Linked DNA regions of Macaca mulatta. Each later gene encodes a partner of the first gene's protein in a complex. Links are inferred from orthologs where the notes say so. Each region holds a gene or a part of one and is shown in the gene's direction. Other genes may lie near its edges. The genes, in order: METTL3, CBLL1, WTAP and RBM15.

Region 1 (8,116 bases):
CTTGGCTCACTGCAACCTCCACCTCCTGGGTTCAAGTGATTCTCCTGCCTCAACCTCCCGAGTCGTTGGGATTAGAGGCGTGCGCCATCACACCTGGCTAATTTTTGTATTTTTAGTAGAGATGGGGTTTCACCATGTGGGTCAGGCTGGTCTCAAACTCCTGACCTCGTAATCCGCCCGCCTCAGCCTCCCAAAGTCCTGGGAATACAGGCATGAGCCACCACGCCCAGCCGTCACTGGAACTTCTTAGCCAATCAACAAACACTTGTCTTCTGATCCCCAAAACAGATTTCACTAGCCTTATTCTCAATTAGACCCAACTTTGACTTCCCTTTATATTTCCTTATCTATTCTAACATTTAATAATGGTAGGTTGACTAATCCTAGTGGATATTCTGTTTTCAGTCAGATATGGACAAGACTTGAGGGAAAAAAACGTTCATCCAAAGAATCAAGTAAAAGGTGAAGGGTTGGGCACGATGGTTTATGCCTGTAATCCCAGCACTTTGGGAGGCCAAGGCAGGTGGATCACGAGGTCAGGAGTTTGAGACTAGCCTGGCCAACATAGTGAAATCCTGTCTCTACTAAAAATACAAAAATTAGCTGGGCATGGTGGTGCATGCCTGTAGTTGCAGCTACTCAGGAGGCTGAAGCAGAAGAATTGCTTGAACCTGGGAAGCGGAGGTGAGCCGAGATCGTGCTACTGCACTCCAGCCTGGGCAACAGAGTGAGGCTCCATCTCAAAAAAAAAAAAAAAAAAAAGTGAAGTATACAGTTAGTACTGTTTGAGATGAGGTCTTCGTATGTTGCCTAGGATGGTCTTGAACTCCTGAGTTCAAGGGATCCTCCCACCTCAGCCTCCAAAGCAGCTGGGATTACAGGCACACACCACAGCACACAGCCTACTAGTGTCTTCTTTTTTTTTTTTTTTTTTTGAGACAGAATCTTGCTCTGTCGCCCAGGCTGGAGTGCAATGGCACCATCTCAGCTCACCACAACCTGCCTCCCAGGTTCAAGTGATTCTCCTACCTCAACCTCCCAAGTAGCTGAAACTACAGGCACATACCACCACATCCGGCTAATTTTTGTATTTTTAGTAGAGACAGGGTTTCACTATGTTGGCCAGGCTGGCCTCGAACTCCTGACCTCGTGATCAACCTGCCTCGGCCTCCCAAAGTGCTGGGATTACAGGTGTGAGCCACCACACCTGGTCTAGTGTCTTAATACTTACATATTTGCTTATGATTCCATGGAGTGCCTGGTAGGATGGCTTGTCTATGTTCCATGTGGTGAGGACTAGGCTCATTCAGGCAGCTTTCATTTGGACTGGAGAAGCCAAGATGGCCTCACTCACTTCTGGCTACTTGGATGGCTGACTGTAATGCTGAACCTTCTCTCCTTACCATCCTTCATCCTACAGGGTCTCTCTTTTCAAATGGTCTAGCAGGGTAACTGGACTTCCATGAAGGCCCAGGGTTCCAAGAGGGCAGAAACAGAAGCTGTGGCAGCACATCTGGAGGTCCCTCAGATCTGTGTCTTGCTTCAATAGTGTTTAGATGGAACAGACCCAGGGACTCTCTCTCAAAAATTAGAAACAAAACCAAACCAAACCCCGGAAGCTGTAATGCCTCTTAAGGTCCAGACCTCTTAAGGTCTAGAACTCAGGGAATATCACTTCTGCCACATTCTTTTGGTGAAAGCTAGTCAGAAGCCTAGCTCAGATTCAAGAGGAGAGAGAATAAGCTTTACTTATTGACTGAAAGGGGGCAAAGTCACACTGCCTGAAGGCAAGTGGGTGGGAGGCATTGTTGTGGCCAACTCTGGAAGCAATCTACCACAGCAGATATGAGGAAAAGTTCAGAAGTGTAATGCATGCAGCACCCATCTGCTCAAAATTAGGCTTACACTCTGTTTTGACTAGAAGAAGTCTGTCTGCATTTTTCCTTCCTCCTCCTCCTCCTCCTCTGTGGCTGCTGGGCTGACAAGAAAGCAGTATCTTTCTTTTGAGCAGCAAACTGGTCAAGAGGAGTCTAAAAAGAATCTCTCTATAAGAATATCATGATAAGAGACCTTCCTGTACTTCAAAAAATTTGCCCAATATGCCACTGTAATAATTTACCCAGAGTTAATGTGAAAGCAAAAACTTCTGAGAGCTGCCCTTGATTTGACTGACTTTCAGGAGTACTTGTGCTACTTCTTTGCACCACTGCCCTCCAGCAGTGAAAGAGTGAGGCTTATCTTAATAAAACAAAAACAAAAAAACAAAGTTACACATCCCAAAAGACAGTGTAAATTCCCTAAAAGTAAATTAAGTTCAGAAAATGAGATGGAAATGAGTATTTTGATCACTACTAAATCTCCATAGTATCTAACACATAGTAGTCACTCAATACTTACTGAATGGATAAAAGTCATATTACAATCTTTCAATAGCTCCCTTCATATTCACCCCTTCCTTTTCATTACTGTTCATAACCAGCTTTTAGTTAAAGTTCTTCTCATCAGACACTTAGTTACAATGGACTACTAACCATCTTTCTCCTCTCCTAAATCTCCTTCCTCCTTTCAATTTATCTAGAACAGTAGATCAATTTTGAAACATTTCTATTTACAAACTTTAATTGTTTCCTATTGTATTCTGAATAAATTGCCAAGTCTTTACTCAGGTACCATGTACCTTCTGCAATCTGGCCTCAAATTTGGGAACCTAAAATTTCTCCCAATATTCCCAAATACAAATCTTTTATGTTCTGGCGAACTAATCCGGATTGACATAACACACACCGTGCTTTCCTACCTCTAGTCTAGACCTTTGCCTTTATCATATTCTAGACCTGGATTTCCCTCCTATACCTTCACCTACTGAAAACTTAGCGGTCACTTCAAGCCTGCACCTTGATGCCAGCTTCTTTCCAATGTCTTCCTGGGTCCTTAAACTTGCAGTCCTCCTCTTCTTTGAAATTACGTTTGTTGTTGTTGTTGTTGTTGTTTTGTTTTTGTTTTTTAAAGAGTCTATGCTCATGCTACCTCATGCTGTAAAGATGGTTCAGTATTAATAAACTGGCTCATAGCTCCTATACCAGATCATAAACTCTTTGAAAACAGGAGCCATGCCAGTCAAACTATTTTTTTTTGTATTTTTTGGACACAGTGTATGGCATCATGTAGACATTGGATAAGTCAGTGATTCTGGAAATGTTTCCATTCAGGGAGCTCCATTAAAAAAAAAAAAAGGCCAAGCCGGTGGCTCACACCTGTAATCCCAGCACGTTGGAAAGTCAAGGCAGGCTGATGACCTAAGGTCACGAGTTCAAGACCAGCCTGGCCAACATGGTGAAACCCCATCTCTACTAAAAATACAAAGTTAACTGGGCGTGGTGGCAGGCGCCTGTAATACCTGCTACTAGGTAGGCTGAGGCAGCTAGAATCTGGGAGGCGGAGTGAGCTGAGATCACACCACTGCACACCAGCTTGGGTGATAAGAATGAAACTCTGTGTCAGGCCGGGCTCAATGGCTCACGCCTGTAATCCCAGCACTTTGGGAGGCTGAGGTAAGCGGATCACGAGGTCAGGAGTTCGAGACCAGCCTGGCCAATAAAGTGAAGCCCCTGTCTCTACTAAAATACAAAAATTACCTGGGTGTGGTGGCACGCACCTGTAATTCCAGCTACTCTGGAGGCTGAGGCGGGAGAATCACTTTAACCCGGGAGGCGGAGGTTGCAGTGAGCTGAGACCACGCCATTGCACTCCAGCCTGAGTGACAGAGTGAGACTCCATCTCAAAAAAAAAAAAAAAAAAAAAAAAAAATCTGTACTATACGGTGTTGCTCTTTATGAGTGCTATTTTAACGTAGGTTACCTCTCAGGACTCCTCTCCGAATATTCAACATGGCCGCATGCGCGTCTATAAGCAACATGGCCGCTCTGCCAGTCACCAACATGGCAACCACAGCCTCACTGTGCCCGGAAGCAAGAGAGAGCAGGTAATAAAGACTATATTGGCCGCTCTGCCAACACCTAACGTGGCTCTCTTTAGAGCTTCCAAGAAAGCGCGACACCGGAAATGACTTTTCTGTCTTGCTCATCTCTAGGGGTCATTTTCCGGTTAGCCTTCGGGGTGCCCGCGTGAGAATTGGTTATATCCTGGAGCGAGTGCTGGGAGGTGCTAGTCCGCCGCGCCTTATTCGAGAGGCGTCAGGGCTGGGAGACTAGGATGTCGGACACGTGGAGCTCTATCCAGGCCCACAAGAAGCAGCTGGACTCTCTGCGGGAGAGGCTGCAGCGGAGGCGGAAGCAGGACTCGGGGCATTTGGGTGAGGCACTGGGCTGCTGGGGCCGAGGCTCAACTGGGGAGGACGGGCGGGATCCCTAGAGAAAAAGCTCCAGAGTTACTGCCCTTTACCAAACGGCCATTTCTATAAAGCCTCGTACATTGGTACTCCATCTCCCCCTTCAGCAGCACAGACCTTCGCCCTTCTGCAAGTAGTTCGCTGTTCCTCCTCACCCTGGGCCTCGGTTCTTCTTGCTCACTTCTATCGGACGGATGCTTGAGCCCCACCCTCGTCCTCCTTGCCCATTCCTCTTTAGACTGCGAGGACGTCGCCTTTGTGAGGCTTCTCAGCCCCCTATCCCACGAAGCAGCAAGAACCCCTTTTTGTTGCTGCTATGGCGCTTTGTTCCCTCAGTTACAACGACTATTTTGTAGTGGTCATTTTTTGGCACCTGTGGGTACGGTAAGCAAGGAATGAACCTTCATATCCACAGTGTCCAATTTAGTGGCCCGTACAGAGTGGCATTCGGTGTTTTTGAATGAGTACCCCTACCGGCATTGTCTTAGCAATTTACATACCTAGCAGGAACCTGAAAACATTTGTGTTTGATTTCCAAACTTTTTCTCCTCTCCTGTTGCCCCTATGTCGCGATCATAAAACTTGAAGGAAATTTAAAAGATTGTTAAGTTCACTCTTATCCACTCCTTACCCCCAGGACAAACTCTGAATTATTTAAGGCAAACTAGTAACAAAGCTCTGCAAAAATAGTGACTCAATATCACCCTTGTGGTAGATTGTTCCAATATTTGTCAGTATCTTCAACTCCATCTCTAAATCTTGTCTAGATCATGTTAGGTTCATGTGCTCATATTCTGGCCCCTAGAAATAGAAGATACACGGGCAGGATCCTCTCACCTAATTAATTATCCTTTCTTAGCTACAGTGTTCATGGGTCTAACTAGACAAAAATAAGTAAGAAATTGCCCCTGTCCTCAAGAATTTTAAAAACCATAGGATTCAAAGGTAGATGCTTACAAAAAGGAATATGATAGGATATATGTATGAAACCAAACGAATGAATCTACAGTCTGTACAGTGAAGAGAAGTAACAAGAGCTGGTGTAGGTAGTGAAGCCATCAAAGCCATCATAGTGGAATTGGCACTTGAATTTGGCCTTTATGGCTATATAGGACCTAGATAATTAAAGAGGTAAGAGGGGAGGATAGTAGAGTAAGAAGTGCAAGTCATTTGATCAGGCAATAATTAGTAGTCAAGTCTCGGAGTAGTTCCTGAATTACCTAAGAGCCAGAGTTTTTTTTTTTTTTTTCCTTGCTCTAGAAACTTCATTGATTTATTTATAGATACAATTTTTTGTTTTGTTTTGTTTCCCCTATTCTTTGGTTTTCTGTTTTGAAACTTTTTAAAAATGTGCATAAATGATGCCAGCGACTTTTTTTGCTTCTGTTTTTGAGATAGGGTCTCTCATCGTTGCCCAGGCTGGAGTGTAGCAGTCCTCCCAGCTCATCCTGTGAGTAGCTAGGACTACAGGGGCATGCCACCATGCCTGGCTAATTTTTAAATTTTTAATAGCGATAAGGTCTCATTATGTTGCCCAAATTTGTCTTGAACACCTGGGCTCAAGCTGTCCTCTTGCCTAAGCCTCCCAAAGTGTTTGAATTACGGGTGAGAGCCACCATATCCAGGCTATTTAATTTTCTTGTGGAATCTTTTCCCTTTCAGTAATGGCAGTTGCAAAAGGGGACCTGAGGATCAGGTAGTTGTTTGTTTCAACAGAGTGATCTGCAAAATTATTTAGTTAGTTAGAGACAGAGTCTCCCTCTGTCACCCAGGCTGGAGTGCTGTGGCATGATCATGGCTCACCGCTGCCTTGACTTCCCAGGCTCCAGCAATCCTCCCACTTCAACCTCTCAAGTAGCTGGGGCCACAGGCGTGTGCTACCACGCCCAGCTAATTTTTGTATTTTTGGTAGCCGGGGTTTCACCATGTTGCCCGGGCTGGTCTCTGAACTCCTGAGCTAAAGCAGTCCACTCGCCTTGGCCTCCCAAAGTGCTGGGATTACAGGCGTGATGAGCCACCAGGCCTGGCCTACAAAATTAACTTTTAAAAAGCCACTATATTGGTGTACTACATCATTGATTACTTTGTGTTCACGTTTCTGTCGTTTTGTAACAGACCATCCTCTGTCTGTGGTGGTGGTGGTTGTTTCTTGGTTTTAATTGTTCCTCATCATACTTATTTTTTTTCTTTTTTTTGAGACGGAGTTTTTGCTCTTGTTTCCCAGGCCGGAGTGCAATGGTGCGATCTCAGCTCACCGCAACCTCCACCTCCCAGGTTCAGGCGATTCTCCTGCCTCAGCCTCCCGAGTAGCTGGGATTACAGGAATGTGTCACCACTCCCGGCTAATTTTGTATTTTTAGTAGAGACAGGGTTTCTCCATGTTGGTCAGGCTGGTCTCGAACTCTGGACCTCAGGTGATCTGCCCGCCTCGGTTTCCCAAAGTGTTGGGATTACAGGTGTGAGCCACTGTGCCGGGCATCGTACTTCTTTATACTTTTCCATTTCTAAATTCATACTCTTTCAATGAATGATTCTAATTGTTCTTGGTCATTTTAAGCTTCATTTCATTTTTCTTTTTTGTTGTTTTTTGTTTTTTTGGGGTTTTTTTTGAGGCGGAGTTTTGCTCTTGTTGCCCAAGCTGGAGTGCAATGGCACGATTCTCCTGCCTCAGCCCCCCGAGTAGCTGGGACTACAGGTGCATGCCACCACACGTAGCTAATTTTTTTGTATTTTTAGTAGAAACGGGGTTTCACCGTGTTAGCCAGGATGCTCTTGATCTCCTGACCTCATGATCCGCCTGCCTCGGCCTCCCAAAGTGCTGGGATTACAGGCATGAGCCACTGTGCCCGGCCATTTCATTTTTCCATGATATTAGCTACATTTTGGTATTAGCCAAACTTTTTGCTGTATCAGACCTAACTACTAGAGCCTTGATACTTTCATCCAGGTCCTTGCTAAACATGTTTAATATTTTTGACACTAAGACTGTATTCTCCCTGCATGTAAATATCCTTTTTTATGTTTATTTTTTCTTTTTTAGATATGAGTATCTCTTGACTTGTATATCTAGCTAATAATATAGCTAAGACCCTTTTTTCTGTGTGTGTGTGTGAGACAAGAATCTCATTCTGTTACCCAGGCTGGAGTTCAGTGACATGAACACAGCTCACTGCAGTCTTGACCTCAGGGCTCAAGTGATCCTCCTGCCTCAGCCTCCTCCTGAGTGGCTAGCACCACAGGTGTGCCCTGCCATGCACGCGTAATTTTTAATTTTAATTTTTTTGTAGAAACCGGGCCTTGCCATGTTGCCCAGGCTGGTCTTGGACTCTTGGGCTCAATCTGTCCTCCCACCTTGGCCTCCCAAAGTGCTGGGATTACAGACGTAATCCCAGCCTAGTTAAGACTCTTATAAAAGTATTTCTGGGGTTGTAATTAAATGTATCTTGTCTTCTGACCCAGAGCTTGATCTGACCCATCATTTGGTACTGTGGTAATAGGTAAAGATGAAACACACAAATTAAGCCAGAATGTCACTGTTCTTTCTGTGTTATTTTGATTATTTCAAAGAATGTATTTTGTTGAGCTTTAGGATTCTTAGGAAACCGTTGTGAAACATACTCTATAGTAAGTTTATTAATCATGTTGTCATGTAAGATACAACCCAAGACTTGATAAAAGTTCAGATTATTCCTTTCATGTCTCACCGGCAATAAAAATTTGTGTACCACATCTTGTTTTTTATAGCATTACTGAAATCTGATAATTATT
Region 2 (7,401 bases), on another chromosome or scaffold:
AAATTTTATTCACTTTTCTAGGGAGAGGTCCTATAACTTTTATCAGTTTCTTAAAGGATTCCATATCTCAAAAAGGGTTAAAAAGCATTGCCTTAAGTGTTGATCCAAAATAAATAAAATTAGCAGTTAAACTTAATGTAATATTGAAAATCAGAACCCAGATCTTTAATAAACTTGATAATGTTAGGTATGTTGTTTTAATACCTGTGGCAGAATAATCTTTAAAAAGAAAAACTAAAAGAAGTTACAACTTTTTTTTCCCTGACATAGACAATGAGTTACAAGGCACTAATAGTTCTGGATCCTTGGGTGGTCTTGATGTTCGCAGACGAATTCCTATAAAGCTCATCTCCAAACAAGCAAACAAAGCAAAACCTGCACCGCGAACTCAAAGGACTATAAACAGGATGCCTGCAAAGGCTCCACCTGGTGATGAAGGTAATTTGTTTAACTAATAGGTCCAACACTCTTTCTGTTTTATCTGATTGCTCCAGATAGTCTGTGTGATCTTATAGCTACCTCTTTTTTATCTTACATATCATATTTATTCTTCAACCTTTTTGTTTGACTTCTCATTGTAGCACATTGTATTTTTATTTCCCTTTATAAATATTTTTGATTTGATTCCTTTTGTTGTTGAAAGCAATGCTGCCCATTGTTTAATAATCTCAACAGTATTGCAGAAAGCATAACATTAAAAGTAAAATCCTTCTATCCAAAGATAATCCCTGTTGACTTTTTTATACAAAAGTACTGATTTTTTATGTGTAGTTGACATTTTTTCATGTAATACGCATTTAAGATTTTTTCTTATCAGTACATGCAGATATACCTCATTAAAAAAAACAGGTTTGGGTATTTTTAGATATACCATAATTTAACAGTTTTTCCATTTTTTTTCTGTTACAAAAAATGTTGCACCAAATATTCTTGGACATAGTGTTTTGTAGAATTTGTACTTTGCACAGATTTGGCCTTTTTTTTTTTTTTTAATTCCAAAGACTTTAAAACTACAAATTTGGATATTTTAAAACTTGATAGATACTGTGGATTTTAGAGTTTGACAAGTACTGTCAAATTGCAGCAAAAAAGGTATGTTAGTTTTTACTCCCATACACCAATAGTGAGTACTAGAAATCTTTTAAAATTTTTGTTTTGATGTAAATTTCTTTTAATTATGAAAGAGCAAATATTTTTTCATAGTATTGGTCCTTCTTGTTTAGATCCTTTCTTCTGAGTTTTTTGTAAATTAATAGGATTTTTGTTATATGTTATGTATGTATGTGTGTGTGTATATACATATATATATATATATATATATATATTTTTTTTTTTTTTTTGAAATTGGGTCTTACTCTCTTGCCTGGACTGGAGTGCAGTGGTGGGATCATGACTCGATATTCCAGGCTCAAGTGATCTTTCCACCTCAGTCTCCTGAGTAGCTGGGACTACAGGTGCGCCCCACCTGCTTGGCTAATTTTTTGTATTTAGTTTTTGTAGTGATGGGTCTTGCTGTGTTGCCCAGGCTGGTTTCGAACTCCTGGGCTCAACGTTCCTCTCACCTTAGCCTCCCAAGGTGCTGGGATTACAGGCATGAGCCACTGTGCCTGGCCTATATTGTATATATTCTACACTTGTCTTTTAATTTTGTATACAAAATATTTATTGCAGAGAATCTTGAAGATTCTATGTAGTCAGGTATCCAGTCTTTGCTTTTATGACTTCTGGGTTTTGTGACATTTTTTGAAAGGCCTTCCCCTATTTCACCAGTATAAAAGAGTTTTTCCATCTTACCCTTGATTACAGGTTAGCAAACTATGTCTGTGGGCCAAATGTAACCCTGTTTTTATAAACAATTTTATTGGAACACAGCTATGCTCATTCATTTAAGTATTATCTATGGGGGCTTTCACACTATAATGGTAGAGTGGAGTTAATTGTGATTGAGACCATATGGTCCACAAAGCCTAACTATTTACTATTTAGCCTTTCACAGAAAAAGTTCACTGATACTGCTTGAGAACATTTATGGATATGTATTTGGTTATTAAGGGGAAAAAAGGTGGCGTCTGGCTTTTTTTTCCCCCAAAACATTGTCCCAACTCTTTTCCTTGCTGAATAGGAATTTTATTGTTATCATATGTATGTTAAAACAGCAGTCCTCAATCTTCTTGGCACAAGGACTGGTTTCATGGAAGACAGTTTTTCCACAGATGGAGAGTGATGGCAGGGTGCGGGGAGTGATTTCGGGATGCAACTGTTGCGTTAGTTAGATTCTTGTAAGGAGCACCAACCTAGATCCCTCTCTTGCACAGTTCACAATAGGGTTTGTGTTCCTATGAGAATCTAATGCAGCTGCTGATTTGACGGGAGGCGGAGGCAGAGGTCAAGTGGTAATGCTCCCTAGCCCTCCACTCACCTCCTGCTGTGTGGCCGCGTTCCTAACAAGCCAAGGGTACTGGTCCAAGGTCTGGGAGTTGGGGACCCCTGTATTAAAAGTATTTTTTTGTATTTCTAGACTTCCTATTCTATTCCAGCAATTTGTCTGTATTTATTTTGTAGGATCAAGCTGCTTTAGTTAAAACATACATTATGGTTTCTTTTATTGTAGGGTTTCTCTCTCATCTAAACAAGTATATTTGAAGTCAAATTGTTACAAATTGTGTTAGTAATAACCTAGGGCTGCTGTTGCACTACCTCTAATTTACGGTCACTCCTGCTTTGGCTTTTTTTAAAAAACTAATTTTTTAAAACAACATGGTAGTGTACAAATGCATTCTTTAATAGTTCAAACAATGCAGAAAAGCCAAAATCCTTTTCCCCCTTTCCCTCTTGGAATTTGGAGTAAAAGAAATTTTTTTTTTGATTGTTGTTTTCCTAGGCATCAATCAAAATGTGGAGTTTGGGGTGTCAGTGTGGTATCTCTACAAATATATATAGTTTAATGATGGGAGTACAGGTGGAACTACTCTGAAAAATGATAATGTGCTCCTGATTTCCTTGGCTATTATCCCAATCATTTTCTGGGTTTGAAAAATTGAGTTTCCTTATTTTGAATTTTAGATCACACCAGCTTTTCTAAGGTGTAAATAGGTGATAGAGGAGCCTAGGAACTCTCAGGTGTGGCTTATCAGAGCGCCCTGACTTTGGATTATACATTCGTATTGGCAGTAATTAAATAGCAGTACACTGAAGTGTCTATCAGCTTCAAAAAATTCTTGCATCACTATTTGTATGTTAATGTGAGTGTGTGTCTGTGTGTGTGTGTGTCTGTGTCTGTGTATAGGTGCTGTAATTTAGTCATGTGGGTAAAGTTAAAACTTGTGTGCTTGGCTACTCTGTTTACCAGTTCTAGGGCCAAAAGAGTCGTGAGAAGCCTGGCTCCTTGGAGGGATATATTTGTCTGCTCAGCTTTACTTTAGGTAATTGGATTCTACCTGGAATTCCCATCAGACTGTTGATTGGTTTTTTGTTCTTTTGTAGGAGATGAGAAGATTGCCATCAACTTTTTAATTAGGCCAGAGAAATTGAGCCCATTTGATCTTCATATATCTTAAGTTTATTGATATTGATAAATGCGTTGTAGGAAAGGATACATAAGATATGATATGGCTGCTGTTTGGGTAATTAATCAGGGAGTGGTTTTAATCGACAGGATGAAATATGAATATGTTAAGGTGTCTAAATTACTCATTTTAGGGCAAAGAAGAAGATAACTTGTTTGCTAATAAAATGCATAGAATGCTTTATGTTTTCATTATACTCTTGGCAATAAAATCAGTCTCATGGCATACCATTTTTGTAGCTAGACTAGAATAAATGGTGATCAGTATCTTAAAAATTTGTGCAACAAGCATGATAATCAGTAGTCAGTAACATTTTACATTAGAAATAGTTTCATGAATTGATAAGAGCCTTTGAATGGGAGTCAAGAGATCTGAGGTCTGTTCCTGGCTTTGCCACTTTTCTATATGTTGAGTTGTTATGAGTCTCCATATAGTAATATTCTCAATAATGAAGTGAAAGAGTTGGACTAGATCACCAAGATCACTTCTAACTGACGTTTTAAACTAATCTTGATTGTCTTATTCTTAGAAAAGCTTTGAAAGGCATCAGATGGGCTTTTTAGTGAAAAGATCTATTTTGCCATGTATATGTACTTCCAAAATGAAATTTGAGATGTGGAAAGTTAATGGGCAGTACTTTTTTTTTTTTCTCAGAAGGATTTGATTATAATGAAGAAGAACGGTATGACTGTAAAGGTGGTGAGCTGTTTGGAAATCAGCGAAGGTTTCCTGGACACCTTTTTTGGGACTTTCAGGTATAATTAAAAATGAAAAATTGTATTAGAACAATAAAATATTTTAAGTATTAAATAGTTAAAATGTTTTATTAGAGTAATGCACAATACATAAAGAATGTTATGAACTTGTTGTAACTGATTTTCAGTACGTACAAATCATTTGTTAATACTCTATTTTCAAGAATAATTTGAAGTACTTTTCAGTAAAATCAGTAACTATTAACACTAAGAAGAAAAACTAATGGTATCACAGCTAATGGTGGGGAATACATGGAGATTATACCAAGAAGCTTTTATTTCTAATTGTTTTAACAACTTTTATAAAACACTGACCAATTCATTGTGTAGATACAATCTTTAGAATTGTGTGAGAAGATAATTTTAATTATATCATTTCAACAGATAAACATCTTAGGTGAAAAGGATGATACACCAGTTCATTTCTGTGACAAGTGTGGATTGCCTATTAAAATCTATGGGCGAATGGTAAGTATAATTAAATACTGTTTTTGTCAGTAAGCGTTTGCATAGAGGTCGGGTTCTGAAATTTAGATAGGTTTATCATTGTTTCATGACTAAGTTTGCGACATTTTAAATAAGTATGAAATAATTAAGGGAAGTATTGGAATACTATGAATTTAATATTATCTTGACAAATTGTTGAATTCTTGTAAAATATTAAATAAAACTGAAAATTAAAATAATTTCTGAAAACTAATTTCTTTAGAGTGTTTGATACCAGTTAGTTTACAGTTATTCTAGTTTATTAAGGAAAAATTTTTTTCTTAATAAATAGAACAAAACTACTTATGTTTGAAGGCCACAATTTTTTTTACATAAAACTGCATTAATAATATTTATAATTTCTTTTTTTCCTGAGGCTCAGAGAGGCTTGATAATATTTCTGAAAATTGAATTCTAATCGTTAAAAAAATTTTACAATCCTAACTAATTTTATAGTAATTTTCACATTTCTTCCCTCCAAAAAAGATAGTTTTGCGTTTGCGTTTAGAAAAAAAATCGAATTCAATAACGTACCTGTGATGGTAGATGGCGTGGATTATGCACTGTTGCTTTCCTGTACATCATAGTAAAGAAATAGTAACAGGCTGTGAATTTAAAAATGTGGTTCTAACATCATTTTACTGTATCCTTCTGATTGATTTTTAGATTTTTATTAGTTGATTAACTTAAAACGACCAGAGGAAGATGCTGCTTTTATTAAACATAGGACATACTTGTTATTTTTACTGCATTCAAATAGTTTCAGGAGAAACAAGATTTAAAAAAAAACCATGTAATTAAAGTGTTCTTCAGGAGGTTTTGACCTGCAGAGGGCTGGGTGTGGTGGCTCACACCTATAATCCCACAGCTTTGGGAGGCTGAGGTGTGAGGATTGCCAGAGGCCAGGAGTTTGGTACCAGCCTGGACAACTTAGCGAGACCTCGTCTCTACAATAAAATAAAATAATTAGCCTGGTGTGGTGGCACACACCTATGTTCCTAGCTATTCTGGAGGCTGAGGTGGGAACATCAGCCAGGAGTTCGAGGTTACAGTGAGCTGTGATCACACCAGTGGACTCCATCCTGGGCAACAGAGCAAGATCTGTTTCTTAAAAAAAAAGGAAAAAACGTCTGGGTACCATGGGTGAAATTCATAGAGTTTACACCTCCAGAAAGTGTAAGCAAATACATATGTGTATATTTATTGGGAAAGGGGCCATAGTTTTTGTGATGTTCTCAAAAGGCTTTGTGATTGAAAAAGGTTATTATAATTAGTACTTAATAAATATTCATTTTAACAGGTATTCTCAAGTATCTTCTAAGCTGCCTTATGTATAGGTCACTATATATATGTTTTTTTAAGAAATATTTTAAGTTCTAATATGCTTAACTGTAATATGTCTTTGTTTACAGATTCCATGCAAGCATGTTTTTTGCTATGACTGTGCTATTTTACATGAAAAAAAGGGAGATAAGATGTGTCCAGGGTAAGATAAGATTATCATTACCTTTTTTAAATAATAAAGTTTTAGTGCAATGATTTGTAAGTTGGATTAAAGGTTAGGGAGTGATACAAATCAGGCAGGAGATCAAACATACAGACATGGCTAATCTTTTTCTGTGAGCCCAGCTTGCCTAGCGTTTCTCTTTAATATAGGGCAAGGTAAACACTGTCAGTCAACTCAAATTGGTCAGAATGAAATCTGTTTGCCATTATAGAAGTATTATTATAAACCAAAAACAGTTACTTTTTTGATGAGACATTAAAGAAGTATTAAGATATATTGAGAGCAAAGACTCCAGAATTAGAATTCCTGGGTGTGAATCCTTATTCTGCTATTTATTGGCTGTTTTACTGTCATAGACTATTCTTTATTGATAAAATGAGGCTGATAATAGTACCTACCTCCTTGTGGTATTTTTAGGATTAAATGAGGTTTTATATATATAACATATGTACACACGTACGTATATATAGTAGCTGGCATATAGTAAGCACTATATATATATATATATAAGCTCTTGCTACTTTCAAATCTGATTATTGTATCTGGAGTATATCTTAGAACACCATCATTACATAGTCTCAAATTATAAAAAGCTAGATCCGTTTTGGGATAGTCTTGAAGAAAACAGAATAAGAATTTTTATATCAGTTCAGAACTCTTGATAAGGAATGCTTAAGAAAGAATGAGAGATACTTGCTTGGAATAGCCATAGGCTTCTTAGATCACTTATAACCTGTGCTTAAAGCTACACCAAGATTTGTGGTATTGATTGATAACAAAGCTGTGGACACTTGTCAGCAATGATTCCGTTTTATGGTGTAGGAAAATTTAACATCAGCAGGAGAGAGGGGTGATTTATTGACAGCTCAGTGACAACTAATTCTCTTGGCATGTTTTTATTCGCATTTTAAAGTAACAGATGATAACATTTTTCTATGAGTTTAAAACATTTCGTTTATAGAATTATAATTCAGAAGAGTTAAAACACTAGAAATATATATCATTTGTTTTTTTGGGTGTTTTCTCAGGCCTAAGTTTTCAACATGGTATACCTTCATTTTAAGTTACATAGTAAATTTGATTGCTT
Region 3 (7,941 bases), on another chromosome or scaffold:
AAGCTGAAAGCTCCTTTGCACTTTTTTCATCCTTAGGATACACAGTTGACCCTTGAATAACACTAGTTTGAACTGCCAGGGTCCACTTATATGTGGATTTCTTTTTACCCAAACACAGTGGGGCCAGGGACGGTGACTCACACCTACAATCCTGGCATTTTAGGAGGCTAGGTGGGAGGATCACTTGAGCCCAGGAGTTCAAGACCAGCCTAGGCAACATAGCGCTCTACAAAAAAACAGAAAAAAATTACCTAGATGTGGTGGCACATGCCTGTGGTCCCAGCTACTCGGGAGGCTGAGATGGGAGGACTGCTTGAGCCCAGGAAGTCAAAGCTGTAGTGAGCCGTGATCGTACCACTGCACTCCAGCCTGGATGACAGTCAGACCCTGTTCTCAAAAAAGAAAAAAAAAGAAAAGCAAGGGAAGGAAAGGAAGAAAGGGAAGGAGGGAGGGAGAGAGGGAGGGAGGGAAGGAGGGCGGGAAGAAGAGAGGGAGAGAAAGAAAAAAGAAAAGAAATGAAAGAGAAGGAAGGAAGAAAACAAAGCAGAAGTACAGCAGGATGCAAAACACGCCTATACAAAGAACCAACTTTCCCTATGCTCAGGTCTGGGACTTTAGTATGCAGATTTCTGTATAGGCTCCCAGAAGGTCCTAGATCCAATCTCCTGCATATAAGGAAAGACTACACTATCTCAACACAGATACACTACTAGAGTACTGCGTTCAAAAGCTCGGAGGCACCAGTGGTGGTGGCTCGCAATCTCCTGCATATAAGGAAAGACTACACTATCTCAACACAGATACACTACTAGAGTACTGTGTTCAAAAGCTCGGAGGCGCCAGTGGTGGTGGCTCATGCCTGTAATCCCAGCACTTTGGGAGACCAAGGCAGGCAGATCACCTGAGGTCAGGAGTTTGAGACCAGTCTGACCAACGTGGTGAAACCCCATCTCTACTAAAAATACAAAAATCAGCAGGGGATGATGGCACATGCCTATAATCCCAGCTACTCAGGAGGCTGAGGTGGAAGAATCGCTTGAACCAAGGAGGCAGAGGTTGCAGTGAGCTGAGATTACACCACTGCACTCCAGCCTGGGCAACACAGTGAGACTGTCTCAAAAAAAAAAAAAAAAAAAAAGCCCCAAATTATTTTTTCTGTGTATCGCTAGTTGTATTAGTTAAGTTCATTTGTTTCTATTTGCTTTCAACCTTAGGATTTATTTTGTTTTCTTTTTTATTTACTTTTTGGCTATGTAAAACGAAAAATTCAAAGTAGAGAAGTCTTGTCTCCCCTCCACTCTTTCCCACCACTCTTTATAGGTAACTATTTTAAGTTTCAAGGATATCCTTCCAATTCCTCCCCCAAAATAAGTATATATATATAAATATTCATATTAAATATATTTTTATATATTTAAGTAAATAAAAGCATATATGCTTATTTTTGCTTTTGAATAACGTGAATACTTAATATACTTAAGTATTTAAGTGAATACTTGATATAACCTGAGACTCATTTCAAAGCAACACGATTATTTTATGAATCTTTTTAATGGCTGCACTGTATTCTACTGTATGGATGCACCATTCCCAATCAGTTCTCTATTAATGGATATTTGGGTTATCCCTAACTTTTGCTATGACAGCACTGCAATAACCTTGTGTACCTATTGTTTCCACGTGTGGAGCTGTACCTTCAGAATAAGGTTAGGGTTAGAAGTATAACTTCAAGGTATAAGAAAAAACAAGTAATTTTGAACTCGACAGAACTTGAACCATTTTTCCATTCCCACCAGGAAAGGCAATTTCAATGTGTATTTCCATTGTAAGTGAGGTGGAGCGACTTTCTATGTTCATGAGGAACACAGAATTACATAGAACATAAAAAATGACTATTTTTTCTGAGAATCATCTGTTCATGTGCTTCCCCATTTTCCCCTTTGGCTTTTGGACTTTTTGTTTTCAATTTTTTAGCGCTCTTGTGATACAAGTTGCAAAGATTTTCTCCAGACTGATCTGATTCACTGGGAACACACTATGGCCATCTGGAATGTACTTTAATCCTAATAGATCACCCTACTACAAGACACTCCTTTGGGGATGAACAGGTTCGAGAAAGCCGGCTAAGGACAGACCAATCAAAAGAACTACGTGCTCCTCTAGTAAGTGTTTAGAGACTGCTTCTCCAGGTAACACCGCCCTTACTCGGCGGTCCAGATGGCAGTCTTGCTTCAGGGAGTCTACTCCACTTGCAGGACCTCTTTGGTTGGGTTCACTAAACCTCACAGGGCCGCCTTCCCCACGTTCGAGTTAGCAAGGAGCCCTCAGCGCCGCGGACACAGCGCAACCTCCGACGCCGGAGAACAATAGCTCCTTGATGCGTCTCCAGAGATGTCAAGGAGGAACGAACCCAGCGGCCAGAAGGCTGCGCCTCACGACTGAAGAGAGGGAGGACATCGGATTCTAAGTTCCCAAAACTTACAGGTGAGCTTCTGCTAAGAGCAAAGGCCCGCGGCTCGCCGCCCACCGCTTCTCTTCTGAGGTGGCACCTGGTTCTCCGGCACGCGGAAGCATCACGGATGAGCGTCGCGAACACAAAGCGGCCAATCACGGGCCGCCTTCGCCCAGATCCCTCCGCACGAGGCCGCCCCCGCAGCCGCAGGTGGCCCCGGCGAGTACGTCCACCTTCCCTTCCCGTGATGCCCCGGGGCTGACCTCCGACCTCGCTGGCCCGCCCCTCCCTTCGGCCGCTTCCCTTACCGCGCTAGCTGAGCTCCGGCGCCCGCGGAGCTCGCGCCAGGCTCCTGGGAAAGGACGGGGCGTATTACCGGGGAGCAGCTGCTCCATTGCGCCTCGAGGCCCCGATCGGGCTAGGCTGGCGGCCTCCCTCCCTTCACCTTTCCTCTCCTGGCAGGGCCCGGCGGCGGGCGAGTGACTGCGGCCACGCCTGAAAGGCGACTCTTCTGTGAGTGGGCCAGAACGCGAACATGGCGGAGCGGGGAGGCTGGCGGGAGGCGGGAGGCAGTGGCGCTGGCCTGCGGCGAGTTTGGGCCGGCTGTGGGGCGGGGCGGGGCGGAGCGGAGCCCGGTGGCGGGGCGGGGCCGGGCGGCGGGTCCTGGTTTCCTCCCTCAGCGCCATTTTGTGGCAGCGAGACCCACAAATAAAGGGGAGCGCTGGGGTTGCGGCGGGACTAGGAGTGCGGCGGGGCAGGCGCCAGAGCTGTCCGGCTGCGCGGGGGCCCGGGGGGCCCGGGCGGCAGGGCAAGCAGCGCGGCCTCGGCCTATGCGACTGGCGGCGCCGGCGCGGCTTCTGCCTGAAGAGGTAGGTGCGGGCCGGCTGGCGGGAGCGGCCGCGGGGGACCTCCGGGGCTGAGGGTTGGGGCGCAGCCGCCCCCGGCCGGTAAGAGGCTGGCAGGGCCCGAAAGGCCACTCGGGCCCGGCGCGGCACCAGTCTCGTTATCCGCTCTACCTTCCCGCCAGCGGGGAACACTTCCGCCGCGTCGAGGCCATTTTATCTCCGTCCTCCGTCCCCAGGGCCCGGGGTGAGAGGGGTGCTCCGGCGGCCAGAGAGACCGGCCACTCACGGAGGTCGGAGGATGCCCTCCGCGGGCTGAGCGGCGGCGCTCGTTTTTTCCTCACCTCGGTGTTGCTCCCTCCACCTCCCTTGGGCCTCTCCCGAGTTCAGCAAGGAAAAAAAGAAACGTTCGTTCCCTACATTTCATGTCACGCAGTAGGATGTTACTGCAGCTACGTTCTCTTGTAGACTTCCATTTTTAAATGAGTGCATGCATTCTGAGGAAAGAAACTGAATTATTTGCAGATTTTTGTGAAATCCAAGTCTTACGTTGGATCCCTGTGAGACAGTTACTACATTATTTTTTTAACCTTTTTTCATAAGTCAGTGTACACGTAGTGGAAAAGGCCAAGTTCTTGTTTTGATAAGGAAGTCACTTGGTTGGTTGATCCCAAAGGACTAGCTTAACATTATCAAGGACTAGCATAGCTGATTATGTAAAAAAAAAAAAAAAAAAAAAAACTGTTTAGTTTGGTAGGGAAATACTTCGATTAGTATGTTACAGTTAGAAGTTGTATTTGTGCCTATTTTATCTAGTTTTAGTTAATTCTGTTGCTTCGGAAGATAAGTGGACGTCATAGATCCATCACACGGTCTCGTTTTTTGGATTTTAAAATTTTGACCATTAAGTTTTCTACGATAAACATGTTGTGGTCATTTAAAACCGTAATTTAAAATTATGAGCGAAAAATCTTTTCAAGGTGGATACATTTTAATTCATTCAAGTAGCATCTGATTAGGCAAGTCCGCAGGTTGGCTTGTGATAAGGTTGAGGTTACATTTTACAGGTTTGGATAGGTGTGTTTCTTACAGTGCTTTTAGATCTTAAGGTATCTTAAGCAGACACATAGTCTAAAAGTTCAGTATTTTTCGTACTTTTTCAGTGGCAGAATTTGTACAAGCTACCAGAATGTCTAACTCCTAAAGGATAAAAGTAATAATAATAGGGTGTCCCAGGCACAGCTTATTTTTACATGGCTCTTTTATGTGTAGCTTTTCCAATTCAACGTTGAGTCATGTTTGCTGAAAATATTTTTGTGTATTGTTTGTCAGAAATAAGCTGGTAGAGATGAAACAGAAAATATGTAAAAGCCCTATGATGTGGAGATGAGCATTGTCACAATTTGTACAGTACAGTAAAGCGTTCAAGGTCCCCTGTGGTCTTGTATGTAGTATTGAATCCCTTTGAATATATTGTTTAGCAGTTTAGATCATTATATATTTGTTTCTTGCTCGTCAAAATTGTATGTTAGTAGGTCCTTCAGCAAAACAAGACTAAGATAGTGTTAATTTTTTTAGTTGTCTCCAACTTTCTGCCTCTAAATATTTTGTTTCTTGTAGTTACTAAGCTTAACACAGAAAAACTTCTCAGTATCTCCACCATAGTATACTTCATTGTGTATAACGGTATTCCATCTAACTAGAATATAGTGCTATAAATATTTTCTGCCTTTGAAGATACAGTTAGTAGAATTTAATCTTTTCTAAGTGCACGTTGAAGTTGCCTTTTATGTTCATATTATGTTCATATTTTGTTTGAAAAATCTATTTGTAGCATTTTTATTGTGCTGAAAGCATTAATATTTGCAGCACTTTGTGAGGCAGGCAAAATTATCTTTTTGCTGACTTGAAACTGCAAGAGTTAAAAGACTTGCTTGGAATCACATATGGCAGATAGAGGGTAAGGAAAAGATGGCCTTTCAGTTCCTCATCAGTACCTTGCTCCTACAGTGTCTGAAGATTGATTTCTTACATTCAGCTATGATTTGTTTCACCAAGGTACTGTGTCTTCTTACTGAAGTTGTGTTGGTTGGCGCTTGCCTCTGTTCAGAGGGAACTGAGTTACCTGACTTTATGATGCTGAGAGCCAGGAAGGTACTGGGATCTGGGATCTTAGGCACCTAACCAGTCAAGACTGAACTCCATACTAAGCTGTTTTTCTATGTTAAGACATCAAGAGTAGATGGTTGTCCTGATATTCTGAGATATATTATCTCTGAATTATCTACATAAATAACTGAAACCTTTTCGTGTTATAAAACTAGTCAATCATGTTACCACCTTTTTGGGTGGCACCAAATTTGAGACCCTTACCCCAATTTATTAATAGTTGTTTTCATCACCTAATAGCTAATCACCTAATGACTCACAGTCATTTTCATCCTGGAAAATGGGAACTAACTTTGACTTTGAAAAGTGCTGTTATTCAATGTGTGACTCATAAGAACTGAGCATATTTTATTATTTTCCTTCAGGATTCAATTTTAATTGACTCCAAATGATGTTATGGTCATTCTGTTTTTCTGATGTGACAGTAGATTGTTCTGAAAACCTGGAATATTCATTGTCTTTATGAATCTAGAATTGACTTTAAATGGTAATTGTTTTTGTCATTTGCGCTAAAAAAAAAAAAAAAAAAAAATTGCCCTGGGGAATACCAAACTTCTCAGTACATTCTTGTGGTGTGAAAGTCAAAATTGCCAATTAGGTTCTGTTTTGACCAAATAGTTGAATGTTGTTAGATAGTTGTAAATTTTGAACCTGTTCTAATTTGATTTTGCCAGATGGTGCATTTAACTTTGTGACATATCATGGACTTTCAAGGAACGATTTACTTTTCATCAGATTAAAGTTGAGAAAGGATTTTCTTTCTAAATGCCGAGGCTCTGAATTTCCCAAGTTGGATACCCCAAACAGCTGGAGTGATCTTAAAAGTGACTCTGAGAATTGACTTAGGAAGCATACACATTTATCCAAAACCTGTATTTACTCCTGACTTACATTACAAATACAGAATTTTATTTTTAGAGAAAATTTCAGTAAAAATCTCCATTTAATTAAAATCTACTCAACATCAAACTTTTTAAAAAGAATATAACCCAATGTCAAGTTCGAGACCAGCCTGGCCAACATAGTGAAATAATGTCTCTACTTAAAAAAAAAAAAAAAAATTAGCTGGGCGTGGCGGCGCGTGCCTGTAGTCCCAGCTCCACAGGAGGCTGAGGCAGTAGAGTCGCTTGAACCCAGGAGGCGGAGGTTGCAGTGAGCCAAGGTCATACCCCTGCACTCCATCCTGGGCAACAGAGAGAGACTCCGTCTCAAAAAAAAAAAAGAAAAGAAATTTCAATAACTGTAGGCTGGGCATGGTGGCTCACAACTGTAATTCCAGCACTTTTGGAGGTCCAAACAGGAGGATCACTTGAGCCCAGGAGTTCAAGACCAGCCTGGGCAACATAGCAAGACCTCATCTCTACTAACAAGAAAAAAAAATTAACTGGGCATGGTGGTGCACACCTGTGATCCCAGCTACACAGGAGGCTGAGGCAAGAGAATCAGTTGAGCCCAAGAGATAGAGGCTGCATGACCCATAATCGAGTCACACTGCACTCCAGCCTGGGCGACAGAGTGAGACACTGTCTCAAAGAAAGAGAGAGAAAAAGAAAATTTAAGTAACTTCTGTTTAGAATTCTAAATATTGGAGATGCCAAGAATTCTGCAGTAAGTGTTAGAAACAGTCAGGATGACAGTATGACTATTATCTGCAACCTGTGAATTATCTTTTCAGGTGTTTCAAGAAACACTGAGTCTGTGTTTTTGATGGGGAGAAGGAAACTAATAATTAAATGCCCATTTTGTTCCAGTTACCATGCTAAAGATTAATGTCTGTCTTCAGAAATAGCACAGTATTTGGACCCTGGTTGCAGTAATTCTCTTTGAGGTGGGGAAACTGAGGTGCAGAGATTTTGCTACTTTTGTATTTGCAAAGTTGACACCCTGTTTTAGAATACCAAGGTTATCAGAACTGTCTTCATATGTTTCTCAGTCCTTTTAATGCCATTTAAAAACAGATTATCATCTCGTTGCTAACTAAGCTTACAGTTAATTTTATTTTAATGGAATAAGAATATGGATACCTGTCTTTAAGAAGAGGGTAAGCAAGTAAACTTTATGAAGAAGCAAGTAAACTTTAAGAAGAGAGTAAGCAAGTAACTTCATGATGCTGGGAGCCGGAAGGTAGTGGGATCCGGGAAGTATCAGGTTGTAGAAACATACGCAGACAATCCTTGCCAAAATCCTGGCAAAGGAATTTGAACCCTGGTGTATGAAAAGTCTGCCCTTTGCATACTCAGGTTTCGCATGCCATGAATGCTGTATTTTTGATCCGCGTACTGTATTTTTTATCTGAGTTTGATTGAAAAAGATCCACATATAAGTGGACCCATACAGCTAAAACCTGGGTTGTTCAAGGGCCAACTATAATAACTTTCATAAACTGGAATTTATATTGAATAACATCAATGATACTTTAGTATTACAACTAAAATTGTACATACTGAGTAGGTAGGATACCAAGTAACTAGATAAAAG
Region 4 (8,014 bases), on another chromosome or scaffold:
CCCCATTGCTACAAAAAATTTAAAAATTAGCTGAGTGTGGTGGTGTGTGCCTGTGGTCCTACCTACATGGGAGGCTGAACCGGGAAGATTGCTTGAGCCCAGGAATTTGAGGTTGCAGTGAGTTATGACTGCACCATTACACTCCAGCCTGGGTGACAGAGCAAGTCCCTGTCTCTAAAACTAAAACTAAAACAAAACAAAACAACAAAAAAGAAAAAAAAGAAAAGAAAAAACTCACTAAGCAGCTTTATGCTTTAAAGCAGGAGTTCCCAGCCCCCAGGCTGTGGACCAGTAATGGTCAGTTGCCTGTTAGGACATGGCTGCACAGCAGGTGAGGGGCAGGGGAGGGAGCATTACTGCCTGAGCTCCACCTCCTGACAGATCAGCAGAGGCACTAGATTCTCAGAGGAGGGCTAACCCTATTGTGAACGGAGTATGTGAGGGATGTCGGTTGTGTGTTCCTTATGAGAATCTAATGCCTGATGATCTGAGGTGGCACAGTTCCATGAAACTGGTCCCTGGTGCCAAAAAGATTGGGGACCACTGCTTTAAAGAACACAAAGGATTTTCAGGTAGTATCTGCTGGGAGCCAGGGAAGGGGGTAATTTTGGGGGCAAGAATACAAAGGAAATGAAAACAAATCATTTAACTACAGCATGGATCCAACTTATGTCATTATTCAGTTGTTGTGGAAACACACACACATGTACACACATACACATCACAGACAATATTTTGGCTGTTACTGTAATAGAATCTAGGCCTTTTCCATCTAAGCATAAAACTTACTAGTCCTCTTGGCTCCAGGCAGATTTTCAGTCCCCCTCGGCAAGCCTTTGTACTATAGCCAGCCGCGGGCAGTAGCTTCCATCAAGCTCTCCGGTATTTGAAGTGGCAAGCCACTAAGCTTGGCATGCCTCTGGTGCATGTTCACACAGACTGGGTGTCTGCTTGTCTCCCTGAATTATTTCTCTCAAATCTTGTGCTCCCTCAACCCCTATCATGAGGTCTGGAAAACTACTGATTTGGTCATTATCTTTTTCTTTGATCAGTGAGTCACCTTAGCAGGTCAATTTAGGTTAAAAAGTCACTCTAGTGCCTGGTTTATTATCTCAATTGACTGTTATATTGAGTAATTAGATAATGGCTTAACTTCAATTTCCATTTGTGGTCTATTAATATAACCCTGAAACATTTAAACCCAGGTAAAACTTTTTCTTTTATTTCATGCTTTTACAAATAATATGTTCATGTATTTTTTATCCTCCAGCATCCAGATTTTTATCTTTAAATACCATTTCCCACTAAAAGGAACCAGAGCTCTCTGGAGAAATGGCTGACTCCACAACTGGGGCAGGAAATGTATATCAGGTAAGTCTGCAGAAAACAATGGAGAAAGGAAGAGTGGGAAGAGTGATGCAGATGAAACAAGATTGACATGATTTGATAATTGTTGAAGTAGGGTGTTGGGTACACGTGGGAGTTCTTTATTCTTTTATGTATTTTAAACTTTTTCCATAAAAATAGTTTAAGGAAAGTTAAAAATGTTATTTTCTAAACTGAAGGAGTAATAGCGCGCCCTTTGTAGAAACAAAAGATTTCTACAAAGAAAAGTGAAGTCTCCCTCCGACTCCAGATCCTTACACCCCTCCTCAGGGCAATCCTAGGAACAATTTCCCACGTAGTTGTCAAGAAAGTTTCCACGAAAATATTTTTAAATGTACATACTCATAAAATACAAATATTTTTAAAACCACAAATGGTAGCGTATTATACACGTTATTTTATGCCTTCTGAAGTTTTATTTCCTATTTTAATACAATGAATATGTCTACACATTACAATATTGTGGATTTTTATGCTTTACAATTGAGCTTCTTCCTTCAAGTTTCTTTGATTTATTCAAGAGATAAAAGGCCTACAGCTTCATATTCCTCAGGATTATTTACAAAAAGAAGGATGGCTCAGCCAAGGCTAAATTTAGGTTACAGTTCCTAATATTAACAGTTTTCAAGTTTAGGTTTCAGCTTTTGGGACATTATTGTTATCCTGAAAAATGTCATGTTTAAAAACACCTCACACCTCTACTATAGATTGGATCTTGGGAAATAGGGTTGAGGACGGGATCAATATAACCTCCGCCCCGGCGCATACCCGGGAGAGCTGCAGACGGTCTAAAGGATGTGGTGACCTCAGCGCTGCGTCCCTGCAGCAACCGGCGAGTGCTGGGGCACAGGCCATATCCCCCTAAGCTCGGCATCGCCTGCACCTCTCACAGGTGCTCTGTCCGCCACAGTAACGCTCTATGGAAATTAAAGTTGTAAGGCGAACGACAGAAGGAGCCAAACGAAGTGGATCCGGAGCGGCCACAAGGTGCCTGTGCTGCTGGCTTTTAACACACAAAAAGAGGAGTGCCAAGGAATACAAGAAGCCACAGGGGGAATAAAAAGCGACATATCTGCATGGAGCCTAAATTTCGCTCGATGATTTTCAGGGAAGAAGCATTACATATTAAAAACAAACATTGCTATTTTACGGGAATACCGGATTTAAAAATCCACACAGATTCGCAACATAAAACAGGCAGCCCAAAGACACGTCCGCGGTGTCCTGACAGTTCCGGCTCCGCCCGCGGGCCACGAGGCGGGGATCGACGGTCACTCCCCTCGGTTGCCCAGAGTACTTGGGCGGCAACGGGGAGCGCCGGGGGGAGACAAGCTCCTGGGCTAGGGCTGCGTCTCAGCCACCTTACTTAGCTCTCGAGGTCCCGCGTGTTACGTGTTAGCACCGCCCCGGGGCGTCAGCGTGACCCGGGGCTGCAGGAACCGTGAACTCCCTGCCCCGCGGGCCCAGGTGACCGCGGGCATCGCTATCCCGCGCGCGGGGGGCGGGGCTTCCCCCGGCTGTACACTCAGCTACCACAGCGACATAAGATGGTGTCCGCTAGGCGTCCCAGGACGGCTTCCTAAGGGACTGGAGGGCCCCGACAGCCGGAGAGTCTGCCCCGCCCCTTGGCCGGCACAGGTAGGACGGCGGGGAGCTCAGAAGTTTCGAACTCCAAGGGCCGAAGCACAGCCAAATACCCCACGGAACTTAACAAATGTTTGTGGGGAGAACGCCAAAAACGCGGGGAGGCGGGGCTGGCGCACAGTCACCCTCTCGCGACATCTAAGTGACGTCGCATAGCAAGCACGTGTTCTAGTCTTTCACCTTCAGTCAGCCTCCTCCGTTATATGGGCCTACCCCTTTAAGCGAGTGATGGACAGTTACTTCAGCCTATCAACTTCCTTGCAGACATCCAATCAGATTTAAACTTCTTTTAGCCGCCGGAGGAGTTGGAAAAAGGGGGTCGAAAGAGGGAGCTCACCGTCTCTCGCGATATCGCTGTGAGCCTGCCTCTCGAAAAAACGCCGAAACTTGGCCCCACCTCCCAAATAGTGGTTTAAAGGACGGGTTTATAAGCCAATGAAAGGGATGAGGAGGCGGGGTTGCTGCTTTCACTGAGCAAGAAGTACCGTTACAGGGCAGACTTTTTGTCCAATCAACACAGCTACACTTTGGGTCACGTGACCGCAGAGTGCGAGGGGCGGAGCTACAGCCTGGCGCGAGGAACCGTTAAGATAGACAACAAATGTAACCAATGAGGTACTCTGACTAGGGGGTTGGGAACCCAATAACAGTGGTTGGGCGGGCGCCTTCCTGGAGCGCGGGGAGATGTAAAGATAGACAAATAATTTTCCCAATGAGACTGTAGAAGAGAGAGCTAATTGGCCAATGAGGACTGCGGGGCGGGACCCTGTGCCGCGGCGGAGTCCAAGATGGCGGCGTGCGGTTCCGCTGTGTGAAACGAGCGCGGGGCGGCGGGTTGATCAGCTCCGCGGAGACGACCTCCGAGGACCCGCAACAATGAAGGGAAAAGAGCGCTCGCCAGTCAAGGCCAAACGCTCCCGTGGTGGTGAGGACTCGACTTCCCGCGGAGAGCGGAGCAAGAAGTTAGGGGGCTCTGGTGGCAGCAATGGGAGCAGCAGCGGAAAGACCGATAGCGGCGGCGGGTCGCGGCGGAGTCTCCACCTGGACAAGTCCAGCAGTCGAGGTGGCAGCCGCGAGTATGACACCGGTGGGGGCAGCTCCAGTAGCCGCTTGCATAGTTATAGCTCCCCGAGCACCAAAAATTCTTCGGGCGGGGGCGAGTCGCGCAGCAGCTCCCGGGGTGGAGGCGGGGAGTCACGTTCCTCTGGGGCCGCCTCCTCAGCTCCCGGCGGCGGGGACGGCGCGGAATACAAGACTCTGAAGATAAGCGAGTTGGGGTCCCAGCTTAGTGACGAAGCGGTGGAGGACGGCCTGTTTCATGAGTTCAAACGTTTCGGTGATGTAAGTGTCAAAATCAGTCATCTGTCGGGTTCTGGCAGCGGGGATGAGCGGGTAGCCTTTGTGAACTTCCGGCGGCCAGAGGACGCGCGGGCGGCCAAGCATGCCAGAGGCCGCCTGGTGCTCTATGACCGGCCTCTGAAGATAGAAGCTGTGTATGTGAGCCGGCGCCGCAGCCGCTCCCCTTTAGACAAAGATACTTATCCTCCTTCAGCCAGCGTGGTCGGGGCCTCTGTAGGTGGTCACCGGCACCCCCCTGGAGGTGGTGGAGGCCAGAGATCACTTTCCCCTGGTGGCGCTGCTTTAGGATACAGAGACTACCGGCTGCAGCAGTTGGCTCTTGGCCGCCTGCCCCCTCCACCTCCGCCACCATTGCCTCGAGAGCTGGAGAGAGAAAGAGACTACCCGTTCTATGAGAGAGTGCGCCCTGCATACAGTCTTGAGCCAAGGGTGGGAGCTGGAGCAGGTGCTGCTCCTTTCAGAGAAGTGGATGAGATTTCACCCGAGGATGATCAGCGAGCTAACCGGACGCTTTTCTTGGGCAACCTAGACATCACTGTAACGGAGAATGATCTAAGAAGGGCGTTTGATCGCTTTGGAGTCATCACAGAAGTAGATATCAAGAGGCCTTCTCGCGGCCAGACTAGTACTTACGGCTTTCTCAAATTTGAGAACTTAGATATGTCTCACCGGGCCAAATTAGCAATGTCCGGCAAAATTATAATTCGGAATCCTATCAAAATTGGTTATGGTAAAGCTACACCTACCACCCGCCTCTGGGTGGGAGGCCTGGGACCTTGGGTTCCTCTTGCTGCCCTGGCACGAGAATTTGATCGATTTGGCACCATACGCACCATAGACTACCGAAAAGGTGATAGTTGGGCATATATCCAGTATGAAAGCCTGGATGCAGCGCATGCTGCCTGGACCCATATGCGGGGCTTCCCACTTGGTGGCCCAGATCGACGCCTTAGAGTAGACTTTGCCGACACCGAACATCGTTACCAGCAGCAGTATCTGCAGCCTCTGCCCTTGACTCATTATGAGCTGGTGACAGATGCTTTTGGACATCGGGCACCTGACCCTTTGAGGGGTGCTCGGGATAGGACACCACCCTTACTATACAGAGATCGTGATAGGGACCTTTATCCTGACTCTGATTGGGTGCCACCCCCACCCCCAGTCCGAGAACGCAGCACTCGGACTGCAGCTACTTCTGTGCCTGCTTACGAGCCACTGGATAGCCTTGATCGCAGGCGGGATGGTTGGTCCTTGGACCGGGACAGAGGTGATCGAGATCTGCCCAGCAGCAGAGACCAGCCTAGGAAGCGAAGGCTGCCTGAGGAGAGTGGAGGACGTCATCTGGATAGGTCTCCTGAGAGTGACCGCCCACGAAAACGTCACTGCGCTCCTTCTCCTGACCGCAGTCCAGAATTGAGCAGTAGCCGGGATCGTTACAACAGCGACAATGATCGATCTTCCCGTCTTCTCTTGGAAAGGCCCTCTCCAATCAGAGACAGACGAGGTAGTTTGGAGAAGAGCCAGGGTGACAAGCGAGACCGTAAAAACTCTGCATCAGCTGAACGAGATAGGAAGCACCGGACAACTGCTCCCACTGAGGGAAAAAGCCCTCTGAAAAAAGAAGACCGCTCTGATGGGAGTGCACCTAGCACCAGCACTGCTTCCTGCAAGCTGAAGTCCCCGTCCCAGAAACAGGATGGGGGGACAGCCCCTGCGGCAGCAGCCTCTCCCAAACTCTGTTTGGCCTGGCAGGGCATGCTTCTACTGAAGAACAGCAACTTTCCTTCCAACATGCATCTGTTGCAGGGTGACCTCCAAGTGGCTAGTAGTCTTCTTGTGGAGGGTTCAACTGGAGGCAAAGTGGCCCAGCTCAAGATCACTCAGCGTCTCCGTTTGGACCAGCCCAAGTTGGATGAAGTAACTCGACGCATCAAAGTAGCAGGGCCCAATGGTTATGCCATTCTTCTGGCTGTGCCTGGAAGTTCTGACAGCCGGTCTTCCTCTTCCTCAGCTGCATCAGACACTGCCACTTCTACTCAGAGGCCACTTAGGAACCTTGTGTCCTATTTAAAGCAAAAGCAGGCAGCCGGGGTGATCAGCCTCCCTGTGGGGGGCAACAAAGACAAGGAAAACACCGGGGTCCTTCATGCCTTCCCACCTTGTGAGTTCTCCCAGCAGTTCCTGGATTCCCCTGCCAAGGCACTGGCCAAATCTGAAGAAGATTACCTGGTCATGATCATTGTCCGTGGTGCGTCCTAAAGTCCATGTGTAACTTGTATTTACTACTTTGACATGGTTCCTGTTTTGTGATGTGTAATGGGATACAGCATCAGATGCAATTTTCTTTTTAGTTGTTAGTTGTAGCATTTTCTTTTTTATATTTTTATAAACGTCTTTAAAATAGAAATCAGGACAGTTTAGCTATTTTTTTGTTTGTTTAGCTATTATTTTAAGTGAAAGGGATGCCCTAAAGGTTAGCAGGCAGACAGATTTGCTTTAATTAGGAGTTCCCACCCTTATGAGTAATTTTTTTCCTCTATTCAGTTTTTTTTTTTTTTAATCTTGAGCCTAAAAAATCCTCTGAGTTACAAAACCAAAACTTTGAAAAGTCAGAATTTGGAGAAAGGAGTCCACTGACCATACAAAGAGAGTAATAGCCACCTAAAAATGACTTGATTGGTGTGTAGGTAGATAATTCTTTTACCAGAAATGTGTGTGACTGAAATTTGATCAGGGATCTCAAAGGTATGCTGGTAAATTGTTTAGCAATGTAATTATTTTAATCAGGTATTTGAATATTAAGATACAGTTTATTCCCAGAGAGTTTGCTTTAACATGCATTTTTAAAATCATTTGTTCTAGAGTTCTGTATCCCGTGTATGCACTTTTGGTTTGTAGCAGTAACTGTTCAGTAAAAATTAAGGACTATGTTACAAACCATATATGTCTTATGCTTACACTAGTATGCAAGAAGTGAGTAGGTGCTTTTAAAATCAGAATTCTTTGGTCAGTTATTGGTGTGTGGTGATGTTTTTACTGACTTTTTCAGAGAGGTGTAGCAGGTACAGTTCTAATTGTGCATATTTCAAAACTGTTCTTCATCAAAGATGAGTTTTTGATTTTGTATCCATTCAAATTTCTGGTTTCAATAATAGAAAGAAGAGTTGTCTGCAGGCTCGTAGTCATCTTTTATTTCAGTGGGCATTTAAAGCAGCCATATTTGGATTGCAGACTTTCTTAAAAAGTCATCATAAAATGCCTTTGACATGCTCTCTTAAAATTTTGCTTGTCTTTTTATTTTCATATTTAAACAGTAGTGACATTACATTATTGGAAATGTTTTGAACATTTTGGAAATTTTATGTTTAGTATTCTCACTGCTGTCCAGCTACGGAATTGAAATGTCAGTGTAGGAAAATCTTTTTTTATTGTTTTATTTTCCCAGACACCTGGAATTAATACAGGATCATTTAACTTACCCTCACAGTTTTTTTTTTTCAAAGGTGATAATGACATCAACCTCTGGTTCTCAACAAGGACTTTTGCTGCTTAACAGTAATGGATTTTTTTTTTTTTTAAATCTATCCCCTCTGTCCCACCCCTAATTTGTCAGGTCATTAGTAAG

Evidence for each region.
Region 2: METTL3 (region 1) and CBLL1 share a complex: the UniProt entries of both Homo sapiens proteins name them as parts of the WMM complex. The link is inferred for Macaca mulatta from reciprocal best matches to the Homo sapiens genes METTL3 and CBLL1.
Region 3: METTL3 (region 1) and WTAP share a complex: the UniProt entries of both Homo sapiens proteins name them as parts of the WMM complex. The link is inferred for Macaca mulatta from reciprocal best matches to the Homo sapiens genes METTL3 and WTAP.
Region 4: METTL3 (region 1) and RBM15 share a complex: the UniProt entries of both Homo sapiens proteins name them as parts of the WMM complex. The link is inferred for Macaca mulatta from reciprocal best matches to the Homo sapiens genes METTL3 and RBM15.

The regions. Positions count from the first base shown.
Region 1 is NC_133412.1:94,369,692-94,377,807, reverse strand, and holds the start of METTL3 (N(6)-adenosine-methyltransferase catalytic subunit METTL3), read left to right. Parts: upstream 1-4,095; 5' UTR 4,096-4,212; coding exon 4,213-4,312; intron 4,313-8,116. UniProt on the Homo sapiens protein: The METTL3-METTL14 heterodimer forms a N6-methyltransferase complex that methylates adenosine residues at the N(6) position of some RNAs and regulates various processes such as the circadian clock, differentiation of embryonic and hematopoietic stem cells, cortical neurogenesis, response to DNA damage, differentiation of T-cells and primary miRNA processing.
Region 2 is NC_133408.1:147,359,803-147,367,203, forward strand, and holds part of CBLL1 (E3 ubiquitin-protein ligase Hakai), read left to right. Parts: intron 1-270; coding exon 271-438; intron 439-4,220; coding exon 4,221-4,321; intron 4,322-4,705; coding exon 4,706-4,789; intron 4,790-6,219; coding exon 6,220-6,293; intron 6,294-7,401. UniProt on the Homo sapiens protein: E3 ubiquitin-protein ligase that mediates ubiquitination of several tyrosine-phosphorylated Src substrates, including CDH1, CTTN and DOK1. Targets CDH1 for endocytosis and degradation.
Region 3 is NC_133409.1:12,278,868-12,286,808, reverse strand, and holds the start of WTAP (pre-mRNA-splicing regulator WTAP), read left to right. Parts: upstream 1-2,748; 5' UTR 2,749-2,965; intron 2,966-3,123; exon of another isoform or gene 3,124-3,321; intron 3,322-7,941. UniProt on the Homo sapiens protein: Associated component of the WMM complex, a complex that mediates N6-methyladenosine (m6A) methylation of RNAs, a modification that plays a role in the efficiency of mRNA splicing and RNA processing.
Region 4 is NC_133406.1:129,851,870-129,859,883, reverse strand, and holds the start of RBM15 (RNA-binding protein 15), read left to right. Parts: upstream 1-2,903; 5' UTR 2,904-3,774; coding exon 3,775-6,637; intron 6,638-8,014. UniProt on the Homo sapiens protein: RNA-binding protein that acts as a key regulator of N6-methyladenosine (m6A) methylation of RNAs, thereby regulating different processes, such as hematopoietic cell homeostasis, alternative splicing of mRNAs and X chromosome inactivation mediated by Xist RNA.